Linked DNA regions of Lepisosteus oculatus. The protein of the gene in region 2 interacts with the protein of the main gene of each other region in a biochemical or structural test. Links are inferred from orthologs where the notes say so. Each region holds a gene or a part of one and is shown on either strand. Other genes may lie near its edges.

Region 1 (8,121 bases), on a different chromosome or scaffold from region 2:
AGGCATGGTCAGGTAGTGATTTTTGAAGGGTGATTGTGGTGTGTGTGTATATATATATTGTGATACATATCCTAATTGGTACTATATAACACAATATCCAAATCATCAGTCAGAGGTTTTAAATGTTCAGCACCAAACACTTATAGTATACGAATTGACCTGGATCTCAGTTTCTTTTCCCAAAAATTCCTTTCTGTATGAGATTACGTGACATAGGGGCTTTGCAAGCCATAACAACAAATTACATTACATTACAATTACAAGTTACAATTACACAGACAACATAATTTCACTGGTAATTATTACACATCAATAATAATTAGTTTTAAAGTACTACACAAACAGCACCTGTCTCTTAAAACATTATGTCACCAATACAATCCTTACAAAACAGATATGATATGCCATTTCATTTCAGAAATTCTTTCTCAGCCTGTGAAATACTAATTGAAAGAAAAATAATTTTATTAAAGCTTAACCATTGTATAATTTTGTTATATAAGGAAAATAAACAAAATCAGTGATATATAAGTGATATAGCCTTATGAATCTGGATAAATTATTTGTTGTAACATTCAATTAATTATGTTTTACTATAAGACAATATTTCTCGGATAAAACACTAAGAGTATATTAATTTCTTTGGATAGTGGTTTACCATGCATACTACTGTATGTCTTCAGCCTTAAAGAATTTAATAAAATACATTAGCGTGAATCACCACTGAGCAGAAAAAAACACTGGAAATAAAATAGTGCAAATATTTGTATAAATATTTATAGATAAGAACTGCATTTGCAGGATACCCAGAAACAGCAAAACACCTTCATGCATGATTTCAATTATTTCTGTTTAGCAGAATCACATGGTGTTGATATACAAGTTTGGTGAAACATCCAAAGCCTAAACTTTGCACACTGTTCAAAAGAAACACTTCTGAAGCAAAGGAATCTAGGGCTATTTAAAAAAGGTAGCAAAAATGAAATTAAAATGCTGACATTTTCAAATTATTTTATAATTCTAAACTTGTACTTGAATATGTAAAAATGACATGAACACTCTGCAAATGTGCACTGTGGCTTACATTGGAGCATGAACAGTAGGTAAAACTTTCTTCCTCTTAAGTAATCCATATCGCCCCAGGTATACAGGTATACAGGGGGCTGCAGTGGCATCCAATTTTTTTCAATCTATCTTAGAATTACTGGATCTGTCCTGAATTATTTCCTTATATCTATTTCAAAGTGTCTTTATGTATTTAAATTACAGCAACAAGATGAACATGTGGACCAATGCAGACAAACTCTATTTGATATTTTATATTGACTAAACCACTGAGAAAGAATTGCCAACTATATAATACTATAATAGTATTAGTTATATTAACATTTAATAATTTTTAATAGTTTTTTACATATTTTACAGTACATTTTAGGTTGATGTAAAACTAATGCAAGCAGCTGACTCTGCATTTAACTGCTGAGTACAGTAAAATACATTAATGACATAGTGCCATGAAATTAGATGTTAAGTTGTTTTACATTTGTGTAGAAGAATATTCAGCTAAAACATTTACAAGCTAAATGCATCCATCCATCACAACTGGTGTGTCTTGATTGATTCATGCTTTAAAACTTAATTCAGAAGGCATCAAAATCACTTTTTGTTTTACAGCAAAATGCTTTGAAAATTATTCCAAATACAGGACAGGTCATTACATTAAAATTATTTGCTGGATTGCAAGTTGCTGCTCAATAATACTGTATATAGCTAACCTTTACAAAACAAATGTTCAAGGAGGGAAAAAACATATGCTATACAGTACGTACTGTAAAAGCAGGATTCCACCCAGTCTGATTTTTTTTTAATCAAGAACATACCAATAATTGACACTGCAAATTAAATTGAAACCTTGCGTTGAAATTTACATTTTAACTTTCTGGGTACTACTGTTCATTTCCCCCTTTTATTAACGATGTTTAATATTGCCTAAAAGGTCACACGTCAAAATTTTCTCGCCATAATGTATAAACTGTGTACTGTAGGTACTCTATTGATAGCCTTTATCCATAAGCAGGTATAATAATAAAACTTTTTAAAAAACAACGTTTGGCTACATAAATATTACAACGTCATCTTCATACGTAGTACTCATGCTGTAGTCACAATTTTAAGCAGTTTGTCCACTTAGTAAAACAAACTGAGACAAGAATACAATCTCATTTACTGGGTTAATTTTCTATTTGAGCATTTTTCACGTTACATATAACCTCGCGTGTCCAGAAACTACAAATCCCAACATTACTTGCGTCTGATATGACCCGCATTGGAAGGGTGGAATAATGTCACAAGACACTTTTAATGATATATACTGCACATATTTCGATGGAGAATAAACAGGGCGCTTAAACAGAGTTCTTACGCTAAAGGTGCATACGATTGCGTGTTTTATGTTCGACTGCAAAACCAATACATCCTTTAAGATTAAAAACACTGTTTTTTAACTAAGCTGAATAGACCTTTTTTTAGTTCAGGCTGAAACTGTACCTCCAGTTTTTGCTTCTGCATAATCGAGGCAGTTAGAAAATGAATAAGAAATGCATGCAACTTTAAAAAACAATAGCATAAAATTCACCTTACCTTCGAAGCCATTACTGCTTCATTTATTTATTTTAAAATATTTTTGAAAAGTTACTTTATCGGTTCCTCAATCAGCCATTCCCTTTTCCAGCCACTGAGCGAAAACAAGGCAGTTCTTCTTGGGAGTGCTGGTGAACTAATTTTAATACATCACTAAATACAGACTGCCCTTTGACCCGAGGAGGGGAAAAGGCAGTTTAGAGGACTCTAGTTTAAGTAATCCACTTCGGACTGAGTTTCGCTAGATTTCAGCTTCAGTTTAGTCCTGTATCCCGAGCACGGCGCGAAGTTAGTGGAGCCCTGCGTCTTATACTGAGAGAACAAAACCGGAAAGGATCTGGAAGCAACACCAAGATATTTATGACAAGTCAGCCTGCAGATACGGTTCAACTGTTTCTCCGCTGCACGAGTTGAGGGCGCTGTCCTACGAAATCGCTGCTATATACAGTACTAGTAGTTTCTAAACTACATTTTTTATACCAGGCATAATCAACATAGATATGCGTCTTTATTTAAAAATGAATATGGGTTTGCTGTATGGTTTACGTAGAGGTAAATGGGCCATAAAATATGTCTCATTGCATCAGCTTTATCAAGTTATTTATTGTATTGATCGTTATCGCTTATAACCAAGTGGTGTAGAAAATGTATTAAATGTTTTAAATTTTGATCATAGCATTTCTAGCCTTAACCCAATGTATGTATTATGTAATTGATACGTGTTGGTTTCTACCCCCAAGTCATGCACACCGAATTGAAATGTTGCTCCTTTCCTAGATGTGTGCTTCGGGACCTTTGGATGAAATTCAGTATTTGCCAAGCGCTTAGCTTACGTTCTTGAAATCCCCTTTTGACAACAAAAGGAATTCAAGTTTTGATAAATACAGGACCTTGATTCCTTTAACGTTATTTAAAATAGAGCGTTAAATTAGGGGGAACCGCAGCGGACCTGCCATTTCACTATTGTAACCGTATAATATACAGCTTGTAACGTAATTAAAATAGTATATGGATATCATAAACCATACTAATATTAAATTATTTTATATAATAATGTAACATTTGCCTGGTGTTAAACGTCTCTTTGACCTTCCACCCGTCACCTTTAGCTCACGTGCTTCTCTATCCCCACCCTGTATAAGGAGGGGAGGCCTCTCTCTATACCTCATGCACTGCTAGCAGAAGCTTCGCTCATTCTCCACACCCAACCCCCTTGTGTTTACAGTTACAGTACCTGTAATCTTTAAGGACAATAAGTCTTAGTGAACCTGCTCTCCTACTGTACTAGCCTACACTGCTGGGGAATTGTCAGTATAGGAGAAATCTCCTCACCTGTCTAAGCAAAGGCATAAAAGACGAATGGAAAGCAGACTCCTGATGCAGGCCAAGAGGGAGACAGGACCTCTCACCAGGGATGAAGCTCGGAGAAACATGCTGGAGATAGGCCAAGTCTTGTCTGGGCAAGAAAAAATGCCAAAAGAAGTGCGAAACCTGTTTAAAGTCTTTAGATGCGTTCATCTCTATGGAAGCGTGGTGACCATGCTGGTGCTACAGACACTACCCGAGTGTTGTGTGTCACAGCCCAGTGAGAATCTTGAGATCTTTGCTGCTGACCTCCACTACCTTGTGCAAATATCCTACCTGTGCCACCCCTGCTTAAAATGTCACTAGAAGTGTCTTTATCATGTAAATCAACAAAGAAAACAGTTATTCAAATGGTTCTTAGGCTGACATTGAGGCAGCTGTCAGGAGAGCTTTGTAGAAAGGAAGAAAGTTTAGAGAATGTCAAAACCCGATAATATTTATTTGAAAAATACCTTTTCAGCAGACAGGGTATACTTCACATTCAGTAATAATTCCCCAATTCCCCAATTTACATTAACCACATTTGCGGGCCCGTCTTTTGGATGATACGTTAAACCGAGGTCCTGATTCTCAGTGGTCATTTAAGATCCCCAGGCATTTCTCAATAAGAGTAGGGAGTTATCCCGGAGTCCGGGCCAGATTTCTGCCCTCTGCCTTTACCGTGGTCTCCAAATTGTCCACATGTATGATTGGCTTGCACTTCCCCTGTGATTGACTGGCGCCCCATCCAGGGTGTACCCTGCCTTGCACATGTTGCTTGCCAGGTAGGCTCCGGCTTCCTATGACATCATATGGTAAAAAGCGGTTTGGCAAATGACGTGACATGACATTTGTAGGCTCCTATTCTCTTTTTGCATGGATCTTTCAACCCTCCACTGGCTTCTCTCCCACACAGAGCCCAAGGGGAAGTTGGCCCACTGGATCACAAAACTACAGTACAACCAACCAGATGAGCACCATCTGAATGGAGATTCCTTATTCTGGAGATCGTGTGCAGAGGAAGGCTTTGCGCACTGAGGAGCAAGAGCTGGGGCGCTACCCTCACCAACCACAAGCTGCCTGAACCCGCTGCCTGATCTCACACCCTCAGGGAACACCAGTCAAGAGGCCAACCCACATACAGTAGCTGGTCTGTCAGTGGCAAAGGCTGAAAGGTGACCTACATACAAGATGGCTAGACAAACTCCTTTAACAAAAGCTCTATGGCCACAGTGCCTGCGTCTTCGGACTCTTCATGGCACTGGGTTCATCCTGGCTCCAGTTTAAGCATGTGGCAGGTTTTGGTTCCTTAACTGCTATGACCCAAGTTGCCACAAGCCCACCTCGTGGAGTAAGCCACTTTTGGGTAACCAAGAATCTCCAACAACTCTAAAATATATTTCTTTATATTTTTCCCTTTTATTCTATTCTCTGTTTATGCATTTTAGTTGCACTCTTCAGTTTTTACCTCCCTATCAAGTTCTTTCCAAATTTTTTTCAACAGAACGTTTAGGTCAGGGGGAATTGTGAAACCAGTACAGCAATTTCACAATTTAATTTTCACGTTCAGTGCAGATTTGCTTTCTTTACTGTTACAAAGTACACAAGGATAGCAAATTCACTTAAAGGCCCAAAGCACAAAGCAAAGCTAAACATGACTTACTATACTCCTGAGCAAAAAACAGCAGGTGTTGCAATCGATACACTGGCATCCCCTGTCCCCTGAACCTTCAAATTGTCTTTTCTGTCTCTCATGGTCTTAAGGTCTTTGCACAATTGCCCCTTCGGCCTGGAATCAGGGTTGGGTCTAAAAGGCAAATGTTTCTGCATTTCTTAGCCCTGGGCCAAGCTCTGAATCCCGGTGAAAGGCCACTGACAGAATAGTCAGTGTAATCATGGTAAGGAGAGGTAAAATGAGGAACTATTGCAGTCTGTATGCTTTCAAAGAAATTCAAAGTCTGCTGTATCAGAAAGACATCAAAAGGTAAAATGATCCTTAAACTTAGTTGACATCTTCTTCCCCACTCAGTGATTTACTTATTTACTTTTCAGATGTTTTGTCTGACATTTGTTACCCAACACACTTGAAGGAGGTTATGCAGCTGAAATATATATATATATTTTACTTTTTACTTCTCCTTCAGCTTTTGTTAATATCACAAATGGCTAGTACGAACAGAAAAACAGAAGAGGTACTGTATATCATAAAGAACATTGCCCCCTCTTGCGTTCTGTGACACTGCCCTGTAACAGGGATTATATGTAAAGTACCTAAGTGTATCATTCTCTTCTTTTTCTATCTTTAATATGGCCAATGCTGACAGATATCACTAAAAACAAGTTAACTGCGAGTTGCCGTCTTGCAATCATTAAATAATACAATAAATAAACCTTGATTACATGAATACATGAAGGTTTACATTTAATGAATCAAGAAATTACAGATAAGTATATCAGTTCAGAAGACTATGACTGTTTTTAATTGTGAGTAATGCGTAGTGTTTAAAAATATATCTATATAGGTTTATTTTACTGAACAAAATATTTTTGTATATAAAGAAGAAAGTTCATAACCAAGATAGGAGCAAAGAGTCAAGAAAGTCACATCAGTTCAAAGGAGTTCTCAGCAAAGGAAACTGAACTGTCTCCTTTGGAAGGCTCCATATCCAACAGGGGTCTCCAACTCAGTTCCTGGAGGACTGAATATCTTCTGTTTTCTGTTCCAACTAGTCTCAGTTACTTAATTGTTCTGATAATGTAATTCACTCCATAATTGTAACACTTCTAACCAGACTCCCACACAGTTATAGCTCCACACAGAGTTATAGCAGCTGACATTTTACAGAACATTTTAGGTGGTTTCAGGTTGTAGGTAAGGATGTGATTTCTGTCGTTCTAACAGGAAGAATAACTGCTAAAAACAAATGGAAATTAGTTTTATAATGGTAAACCAATATAACAAAATTTAAGAACAATTAGACAAAATGTTAATTAAGAATTTAGAATTCAAAATTGTAGTATTTCAGGTGAAACATCAACTCAAACGTTTATACCTGTGTTCTAGAACTAATGCAGATTTGCAGATTTATTTTTTCTGTGTAGAACTTGTGAATTTCCATTACATTACCTCCACCTAGTGGACCACAAGAATATAAAAAAAGGTACCGTTCTGTATGTTTTCTACAGTTGTAAATGACAATTGACAACGTCATACCAGAAGAGCTAATTTAGACAAAAAATAAGTTTTAAAGAAATAACTTAGTGAAGGGTAAGTTATACAGTAGCTTGCCACAATAATTTAACTGGAACACGATAAAAGATACATTTTAAGTACAGTATCTTAAGTAGACATTTTAAGTATACCTTCAGCTGTATTTCAATATATTTGCTGTATTTTCAGCCTGAAAACAGGATTGAAAGAATAGAGGGAAACAACTTTTTACAAAATAATCAGGTTTTTCAGACGTTGTTTGAAGACTATGAAAAGAATTCAACAGACAGACTGCAGCACATTAAAAAGTTTACAATTCTGTATTTCATACATGCATATTACTCTTAATGCTCTGATTAAAATAATTCTTGATTCTTTTTTTCTTAATAACTCAATGGTTAAGTATCTATGAACTGCAGAGGGAAGAGAAGGAGAACATAAGGGGACACCACACCTCCTGCTGCACTGCACACCAATAGAACCTGGATTTGGGGATTATACTGAAGATATTGCAAAAAGCACCAGCTGAACAAACTTAAATCATGTTCTCTGGTTGGGACTGTTAATTCTCTGCCCATGACCATCAATAGACAATCTGTCAATTAGAAAATGCCACTCTTTGATTCCTAAGATTAGGAATTAGTTGTTTCCAACCTTGGAGAGTGAGATGAATTTCACTCTGTTGTGGTTGAATGGGATAGCCGTGGACAGACTATTTGGCTGTTATTTTTTCTTTTCTGGATTCTCTGAGGGGTGGATAGACGGAGGGTCACAACCAAACTTTCTGTTTGGTATTTTTTTTTTCGAGAGTGGCAGAGCACAAAAACACAGCACATTATTCAAATTTTCAGTGGCAGCACAGTAAGGTGTCCATGACCCTAAGCATTAGAGTAAGTATCATACTTATAATATTTCACGATAACTTC
Region 2 (7,744 bases):
TGTAAGGTCTGTCTGAAAACAAACAAGGAATGCCCTCTTACTTAGTTTGTAAGTCAATACCTTGTATTGGTGCCCTTTCAGTCTTTAACATGATATCTACAATACAGCACAGACTGTTTTCCTTTTTCTCCTTTCTTGTTTTTATTTTCCAGTCTTCTGTCTTCCCTCCTTGCTTTGCCACTTTGCTCTTATCAGTGTTCTTACTAAATTTAATTGAAACCAAGACTTACAAAAAAAAATGACAGTTTGAAAGATCAGGGTTGCCAGCCCTGTTCTCAGAACACAGAAAGAGTCATCTGGTTGTCACTCTTAATAATTAAACTGGACCAATATGACATCACTCTCTTGACCTTCATTGGCTCACTGAATATGCCTATAGGGCCTGAAAGACTACAGGTGCCCCTGTCCTGAAGTTGGGGACCACTGTTTTAATTCATTAAATGCCTACTGGTAGCTGAATTTACCCTTCCTTCCAAGCATCTTGAACTCAACCACTAATCTCCCTAATTCAGAAGTTATTCAAAAGATAGATTGCAAGAGTTAAATTACAGTACCTTTATAACAATTTTAGAAACTGGGATTTAGGAAAAGTGTCAAATTGAGAATAAAATCATTAGTTTCATTCAGGGTTATCTGCCAGGGTTAAACAGAGCTTTATTTTATTGAAGAGGGACAGTGCACAGTTCTTAAGCTGCACCACAGTAAGCCTAAAAGCGAATTTACATCTGGAGTCCCTGGTTACAACACAATGAACAAAATACAAGACACAGACATTAAAAAAAAAAACATCTAGAGGCAAATCGGATGATAAATCGATATTACAAATGGTAAGGTGAACCGAAAAATTCCAAAACGATGGCATGTTGAATTAAAAAATTATCAAAGACCGCAAGAGTCACATTAGAAGACAATTAGGAAATGAAACATGACAGCTTAGACTATAAATAAAAAGCGAATAGTCAATGACATGATGATAGTCATTAAAAAAGACATCAGGATATTACAGATTACGTGACTTTCTTGCAAATGAAAAGTAGAAGACAAATCACTGGGCTTCCTATGAAAACATGGAACACTGGTATTCCTTAAGGAATACATATTGAGAATACATATTGTGTGCCTTGCAGCTCTGCATAATACACTAAGTAAGGAATCACCTGGGGACCGCTCAATTTCAGATACATTATGGAGTTGTAACACAGTCTACTTAATGGGTTCAATTAGTTAACTTAGTGAGCAAGGACCAGAAAACCCAGAAAACCCAGCAGACAGGAAAGGAATACTCAACTCTGGTCCTGAAAATCCCAACATCATTCCAGCTCAGTTCTCAGTTATTTTAATTAATTCCTTGATTGAACTGAATTTACTCAATTGTACTTGACACCATTGCCAATTGTTTAAAATGTGCAGTTTTTGTGTTACATTATAAAGTACAATAGTCAAAATGAAATCTCCGACAGTTTATGGCCTGAAACCCATCCCACAGGTCAAATGAATCATTCAAGAAAAAGCTAAAACAATGAAGAGCCTGAGAGAACGCCTGCAGATACCAGGGTACCCAGGACCAGCACTGGGAAGTTCTCCTCTTGGAAGAATTTTGAGCACAAGTGCAATCAAACAAAGGTCAAGGGCACGAGCAGATAGTTATATCTTAAGGCCGCATGGAGACGTCTCTACCAAGAACCTGTGTTTTACAGCACCGAGGGCGATTAGGTCTGGGTAAACAGGCGCTAACACTATCACTCCAAGATTTGCCCGGGCAGGTAGGTGCCTCCTGTTAACATTTGAGCTTGACATGTTTACTGAAGGGGTGGCACAGTGGAACACTGGTTAGCATTGCTGCCTTGCAGTGCAGTGGCCCTGCGTTCAATTCCTGCAGTGCTATCTGTGTGGAGTTTGGATGCTCTCCTCATTTTAGTTTGTGGGGGTTTCTTCAGGGTGCTTCCGATTCCTCCCACAGTCCAAAGACAATCTGATGGGTTAGTTACCTTGTGGGAAAATTGGCCCTGGTGTGCGTGTGTGTGTGTCTGTTTATGATTGTGTGTCAGACCTTCAATTGACTGGTGTCCCATAAAGGGTGTATCCTGCCTAGCTTGTCCGGAGAGTCTCTAGCTCCCCCAGTGCCCGTGACCTTGAAGTTCATAAACTAATTAAAAAAACAGATGGATGGGTGTCTACTGAAGTTTTCCCATGTGTCCCTGAAGGTGATGGCTCACAGTTTCTTTGTTCAGCCTTTTTCTAAAAATGCTAGGATAGATCACAGGGTGTCCTAGGAGGCTGTGCAATGCAGGTGACTCAAGGCAGCTCTGCTGAAAGGTTGAAAGGAGTTCCTGTCTCCCACCATCCTTTGTGTAAAATGTGCCTCCTGCTTTTGTTTATAAAGGCACTACGGTGTTTAAGATTGTCTCAGCAAAAAGAGTTGAGATCAATATTGAAGTAGTTATATACTGGTTTTATGTAGAAAGGGCCTGATATTTAATCTTGGTTTTCAATAAGCATATTTAACCGAAGAGCATCGATCAGATCTGAATTATGAAACAGTTTAAGATGTTTTTTATATATCCCGTTTTCTCATTTATTTTTTGATGTTTCTCGAGTGAGCCATGAATACAAGATTAAATTTACTAAACCCTCTCTGAAGTTTATTCGGTATTGATATTTTACAAAAATTAAAATGATGTCGCGCTACTGGAAATGCGCTTCGCATAATGATTTCCCTTAGTTGTAGTGTAAAGCTGTAGTATGTAATGGTTAAGCGCGCTCTGTTGGCTGGGTTCGTCAGCGTTGTGCACAGTCATACTGAAACTGCCCCACCATGTGGCTCTCAATGAGATAGCTTTGGGAGAAAAAATACAGAGTTAAATATGTGAAATCTACACAAGCTCAAGACCTCCTTTGTTATTTTGGGACCTCGTATGATAAACAGAAAACGTGCCGTTGAAGTTGGAACTGGCAAAAACGTTCAGAGACAGAAACAGTCTCTGAGATCCAAAGACCAAAACCGTTAGAAGTAAGAAAAGTCATGAGAGACTCATTTGGATTATTGCAGTTAATTAAGCAGGGGATGTCTTGGTGTCGTTGATTGACAAAAAGCAAGAGTATTGGCTTCAGCATCCTGGCTGGTAAGATTGTTCTAGGCTCCCACTACTCTTTGTGCATATGAGTGCCACTTTTTCTGTGTTAAAAGCACTTCACCTACAGTAAGTTTCCCTTGGTGTACTCTGGTTCGTGTTTCCCTGTTGATTTTGAAGACTTTTTATAGAATCAACTTCTATAATTTTTTTAAAACTGCTGCAGGGTTTAAAAAAGGTGTTCTCGATAATTTTAGCTGAAACGCTGCTTGTACCCTTAAGCAAGTCGCATCACTCAGGCTACTCCAGCGTCAAACCGAGCAAATTGATAATGACCATGTCATCACAGTAAGCGAGAATTCGTTTTCAAGTGGTTTATCTGGTTAAACTGAAGTGAGGTTGCGTCAAGTGGCCTCTGATAAAAGTTCATCCTTCATTTTCTAAACGTTTTATCGAGCTTGCTGAGAACGACGGACTCTAACCCAGTAAGCAACAGGCGCAATAGCGGATACACCAAAGGGGACGCCAGTCCATCACTGGGCATACACAGATACAGGCTCCCACACCAGTGCAAGTTTTCCCAAACGCCAATTAACCTGTCAGCACGTTTTCGGACTGTGGGAGGAAACCAGAGCACCCAAAGGAAACCCACGTGAACGAAGGAAGAACATATAAACTCAACACAGACAGCAACCCAAGTCAGGAACTGAACTCAGTCAGAGCCCCACTACTAACCACTGCGCAATGCTGCCCCTGTTAAATGTCATTCACCACTATGAGCAAAAACATGTTATGAAAATAATCAAGTATATTGGCTTGCCAGTAATTTAGAAATGACGCAGGTCCGGCGTTCCTCTGGTCGCTTTGACTAAAGGCACATTCTACCTAAAAATATTTTTTTAACAACACAGTTGCTCGGTGGGTTATTTGTTGAAAAGTGTGTATCAGGTACAAAAGAATATAAACTCTTAATTTACAGCTGATGGTCATGGTGAAGGGCTCAATAGATTAAATTAAGTATTAAACGCATCAGTTTTATATTTCCCATCGACGAGTATGTTTTTATAATTTATAAAACAGAAGCGAGGCTTCTAGTGTAAAATAATTAACGAAATATAGCCTCTTATTCTTTCTGGGGCAACAGATCGGTTTAGAAAGGTAAATTTAGAAAATAAATTTAGAAAGGTTGTGTGTAGCTTCTAACGCAAACACTCATCGTACTGAAATCTTGGCTGTATTCCTGGGGTAGAAGAAACAGTCAAAGGCTAAAATGATTGACGTTCCAGATGGCCAATAGCGATGCTTTTTACAACAGCACCGCCCGAAATTTAAGACCACGCCCTTACTTACAAGACGAGGAAATAAACTATCCACCAATCGCCGGCCACTTCGAGAAGACGGGCATGCAAATTCGCCAGTGGTTTTGCTCCTTTTGCTTGACAGGAGGCGTGGTCTCTATCAGCAGCGGAGGTTGGGGTGTCGGCTGACCGGATGAGAGAAGTTTTGTTTCTGTCTGTTGGAGTTCTCCGTGTGTATGTTTGCGCTGCCATTTACGGCTGACTGGTTGAATTATTTTTGATCCCCGTTACCAGAGTTGGTGTGAACATACAGAGCTTTTTTTTTTACCAAATAAGTGAGAACCCGAGTGCGCAGCCATGGGGAACCGGGGGATGGAGGAGCTCATTCCCCTGATTAATAAACTTCAGGACGCTTTCAGTTCCATCGGGCAAAGCTGCAACCTCGACTTGCCGCAGATCGCCGTGGTCGGCGGGCAGAGCGCTGGCAAAAGTTCAGTCCTGGAAAACTTTGTCGGCAGGTAAGCCGTTTTTTAAAAAGCCCGTTTCCATTTCAATTCCAACCAGAATCTGGCGGCTCGGCGGAGCGATTTCCTTGTTTGAAAAAAGGTGTCCGTTTCCCGTTTAGGAGCAAGTGACATTCACAAACAGCGTTTGCGAACCTATCGCCAGGCTGCAGGTGGAAGCGAGGGTATTGCCAGTGAGACAGCGTAAATTACGCTACTGCCGTATCTCGCAGAGTGTGCGGAGCTGTGCGGACTGGGGCTGGGAGGAGAAGAAAGGGTTGTCCGAGGAGTTACGCTGGGGAAAAAGTGCGGAAATCTGTTACACCATGACGTAATTACTAGTGGAAGGACACACAAATACTCGTCCTTCTAAAAGTTTTTTCCCCAGTCATGAGTTATTTTTGTATTATTTTTTTTAAACTAACAAATTTTCTTTTCACCTCAGCCGCCCAGCTGCTCTGTCCCCAGGGGATCCGGATCCCTGATTCTGTCTCCTTTGTTGTCCCGGATACCGGCATTTTAAAATAACCTTTAATATGTAGCAAACACAGAACCGGCACATATGCTAGAAATTAAACTTATAAATGCTAAAATGTTTGCGATTTACCGAGAAGTGACTATCGTAGTTCTGCAATAATGAATGACTTCGAGTTGGACGGCTGTTTTTTTATTTCGAACACTTTCAAAAAGCAAGAATGTTGTCTGTCGAAATACTTGTCGAGTCCGTCAAAATGCTTTTCTTTATTCAAAAGCTATTAACATCAAGGTGTTGTTTTAAAGTCGGCTTTGTTCGTTCGAGTCTCTTATCCCTTACGTTGCTGAAACGGTTTTATAAAATATAAGCTGTCTTTTCCGATACACCCTTCACGTTTTTTATTATTGAAAACAGTAACCCACCTTTACTGTCAGTATGAAATACATTTTGATAAACTTCCTAATTAATTATGGTCATACGCAAAGTATACATATTTTACAATATTCATATTTATAAAATGCCACTATATGAGAACTAGCTGATTGCCAGACGTGTAGACGGTATGATTGCTGATGGCTAAAATAAGCGATTGTAACTATCGAACTGGTAGCTTCAAAGGAAGAAGTAAAGGTAAATTCCACCTCGAAAAATAGAAAAGAGAAACGCAGTTTGGGCTTTTGTGCCTTCTTCAGGTGTGACACCTCTTGTTTTTTTTAGCGTGGAATTAACATTTACTGGTATATCACCAAAGTCAGACACATCTACTCGACCAAATTCTCCTTTATATGTAAAATAGTCGTTTTTAGATTCGGAACTGGTTGCACCAGTTAAAAAAAATGCAGTTGACAGGTTTTTTTTTAACGTGGTCCTGCTACCATTCCAATGGATATTTTCTCCTTGTAGAACCTGTGACACCTGTCGCACCTGTGACAAAAGAGTTTTTGAAGCTTTCTGTTTATCCCTCACCTTGAAATTTGAATTTCCTTCAGGAGTTTCCTTAAGAAAGGCTGCACTACCCTGATCTTGGCTAGTGACCTAAACTCAATTGTTGGTTCATATTTCTTACTGTGAGTTCAAAGCAAATTTTGATGTACAGTATTTAAAAGAAAATCCTAATTGGGCAGCTTCTGCTGTCACAAATTGGCTCCAGTATTTATGTCACAGAGCCTTATTATGTATCAAAAAGAGGTACAGCCAACATTCTTCAGTTTGTGTTTATGTATAACAGTGGACATCCCAACACAACCACGTAATTGTCCTATATAATCGGTCACAGTGAATAAGCAGTGCTTATTTGACCACAACACGGGCTATATCCTACAGAGCTTTAAAAATGTGTTTTTTTTAGCCAAAATTATATTTTTGTCTGATTTCATCTTAACTGTTTCCAAGTGGAGAATGTTGTATATGCATATGTTGTAACTTCTTGGGTGCACCTGCATACTGTTGGACTTCATTTTAGAAAATTGTGGTCAAGGAGTTTTGTTTTGGATGGGAGGAAGGTTAGTAATTAGAGGAGGCTGTTTGACCCATTCCGCCAAATGACGTTTGGTAGTTGGTACTTAATTGATCCCAGGGACGTGGCCAGCCATTTATCCAAAGAAGCCAGAGTATCGGCTTCAACATCATGGCCAGGGAGCTTGTTCCATACTCTCACAACCCTTTGTGTAAAGAGCTCACATTTAAATGCAGTGAGTTTGAATGGACAATGTGGTGTGCCTGTTGCCTGTATTCTGTTTTCAAAAGTCTAGCTAGACAGTGAAATCTCAAAAAATACATCTTGTAAAGGGCTTTATATGTTCAGAAGGGTGTAAGATGAGCTATGGAAATGAGTCCCTGGTCCTAACCTGGGGTGTTTGCATTCTTTGTCTGCAGCTAGAAGTGGACTTGAAGGTTTTGTAAACTGGTGCCTGACTCTAAAATACTGAATATCTGTACCATCCTGTCCTCACAATGTACTGGGATTATGAAGTATGCCTTCTTTATTCTTAAGCAGCCATATCACTCTGCAACACACAACTGGCAACCCACAGAAGCTAATCAGGTGTGAGCCTGGTCAGTACCTGGATGGGAGACCTCCTGGGAAAAACTAAGGTTGCAGCTGGAAGAGGTGTTAGTGGGGCCAGCAGGGGGCGCTCACCCTGCCGTCCATGTGGGTGCTAATCCCCCAGTGTAGTGATGGGGACACTATACTGATAACAGGCGCCGTCCTTCGGATGACGTGTAAAACTGAGGTCCTGACTCTCTGTGGTCATTAAAAATCGCAGGGCATTTCTTGAAAAGAGTAGGGGTGTAACCCCGGCATCCTGGCCAAATTTCCCATTGGGCCTTACCAATCATGGCCTCCTAATAATCCCCATCTATGAGTTGGCTTCATTACTCTCTGCTCTTCTCCCC

Evidence for each region.
Region 1: the proteins of dnm2a (region 2) and snx9a form a complex in vitro, tested with the Homo sapiens proteins (2 studies listed by BioGRID and IntAct, with this or other methods). The link is inferred for Lepisosteus oculatus from reciprocal best matches to the Homo sapiens genes DNM2 and SNX9.

What each region holds. Positions count from the first base shown.
Region 1 is NC_090697.1:22,099,652-22,107,772, reverse strand, and holds the start of snx9a (sorting nexin-9a), read right to left. Parts: upstream 3,013-8,121; 5' UTR 2,653-3,012; coding exon 2,641-2,652; intron 1-2,640. UniProt on the Homo sapiens protein: Involved in endocytosis and intracellular vesicle trafficking, both during interphase and at the end of mitosis. Required for efficient progress through mitosis and cytokinesis. Required for normal formation of the cleavage furrow at the end of mitosis.
Region 2 is NC_090706.1:19,999,413-20,007,156, reverse strand, and holds the start of dnm2a (dynamin-2), read left to right. Parts: upstream 1-4,547; 5' UTR 4,548-4,726; coding exon 4,727-4,887; intron 4,888-7,744. UniProt on the Homo sapiens protein: Catalyzes the hydrolysis of GTP and utilizes this energy to mediate vesicle scission at plasma membrane during endocytosis and filament remodeling at many actin structures during organization of the actin cytoskeleton.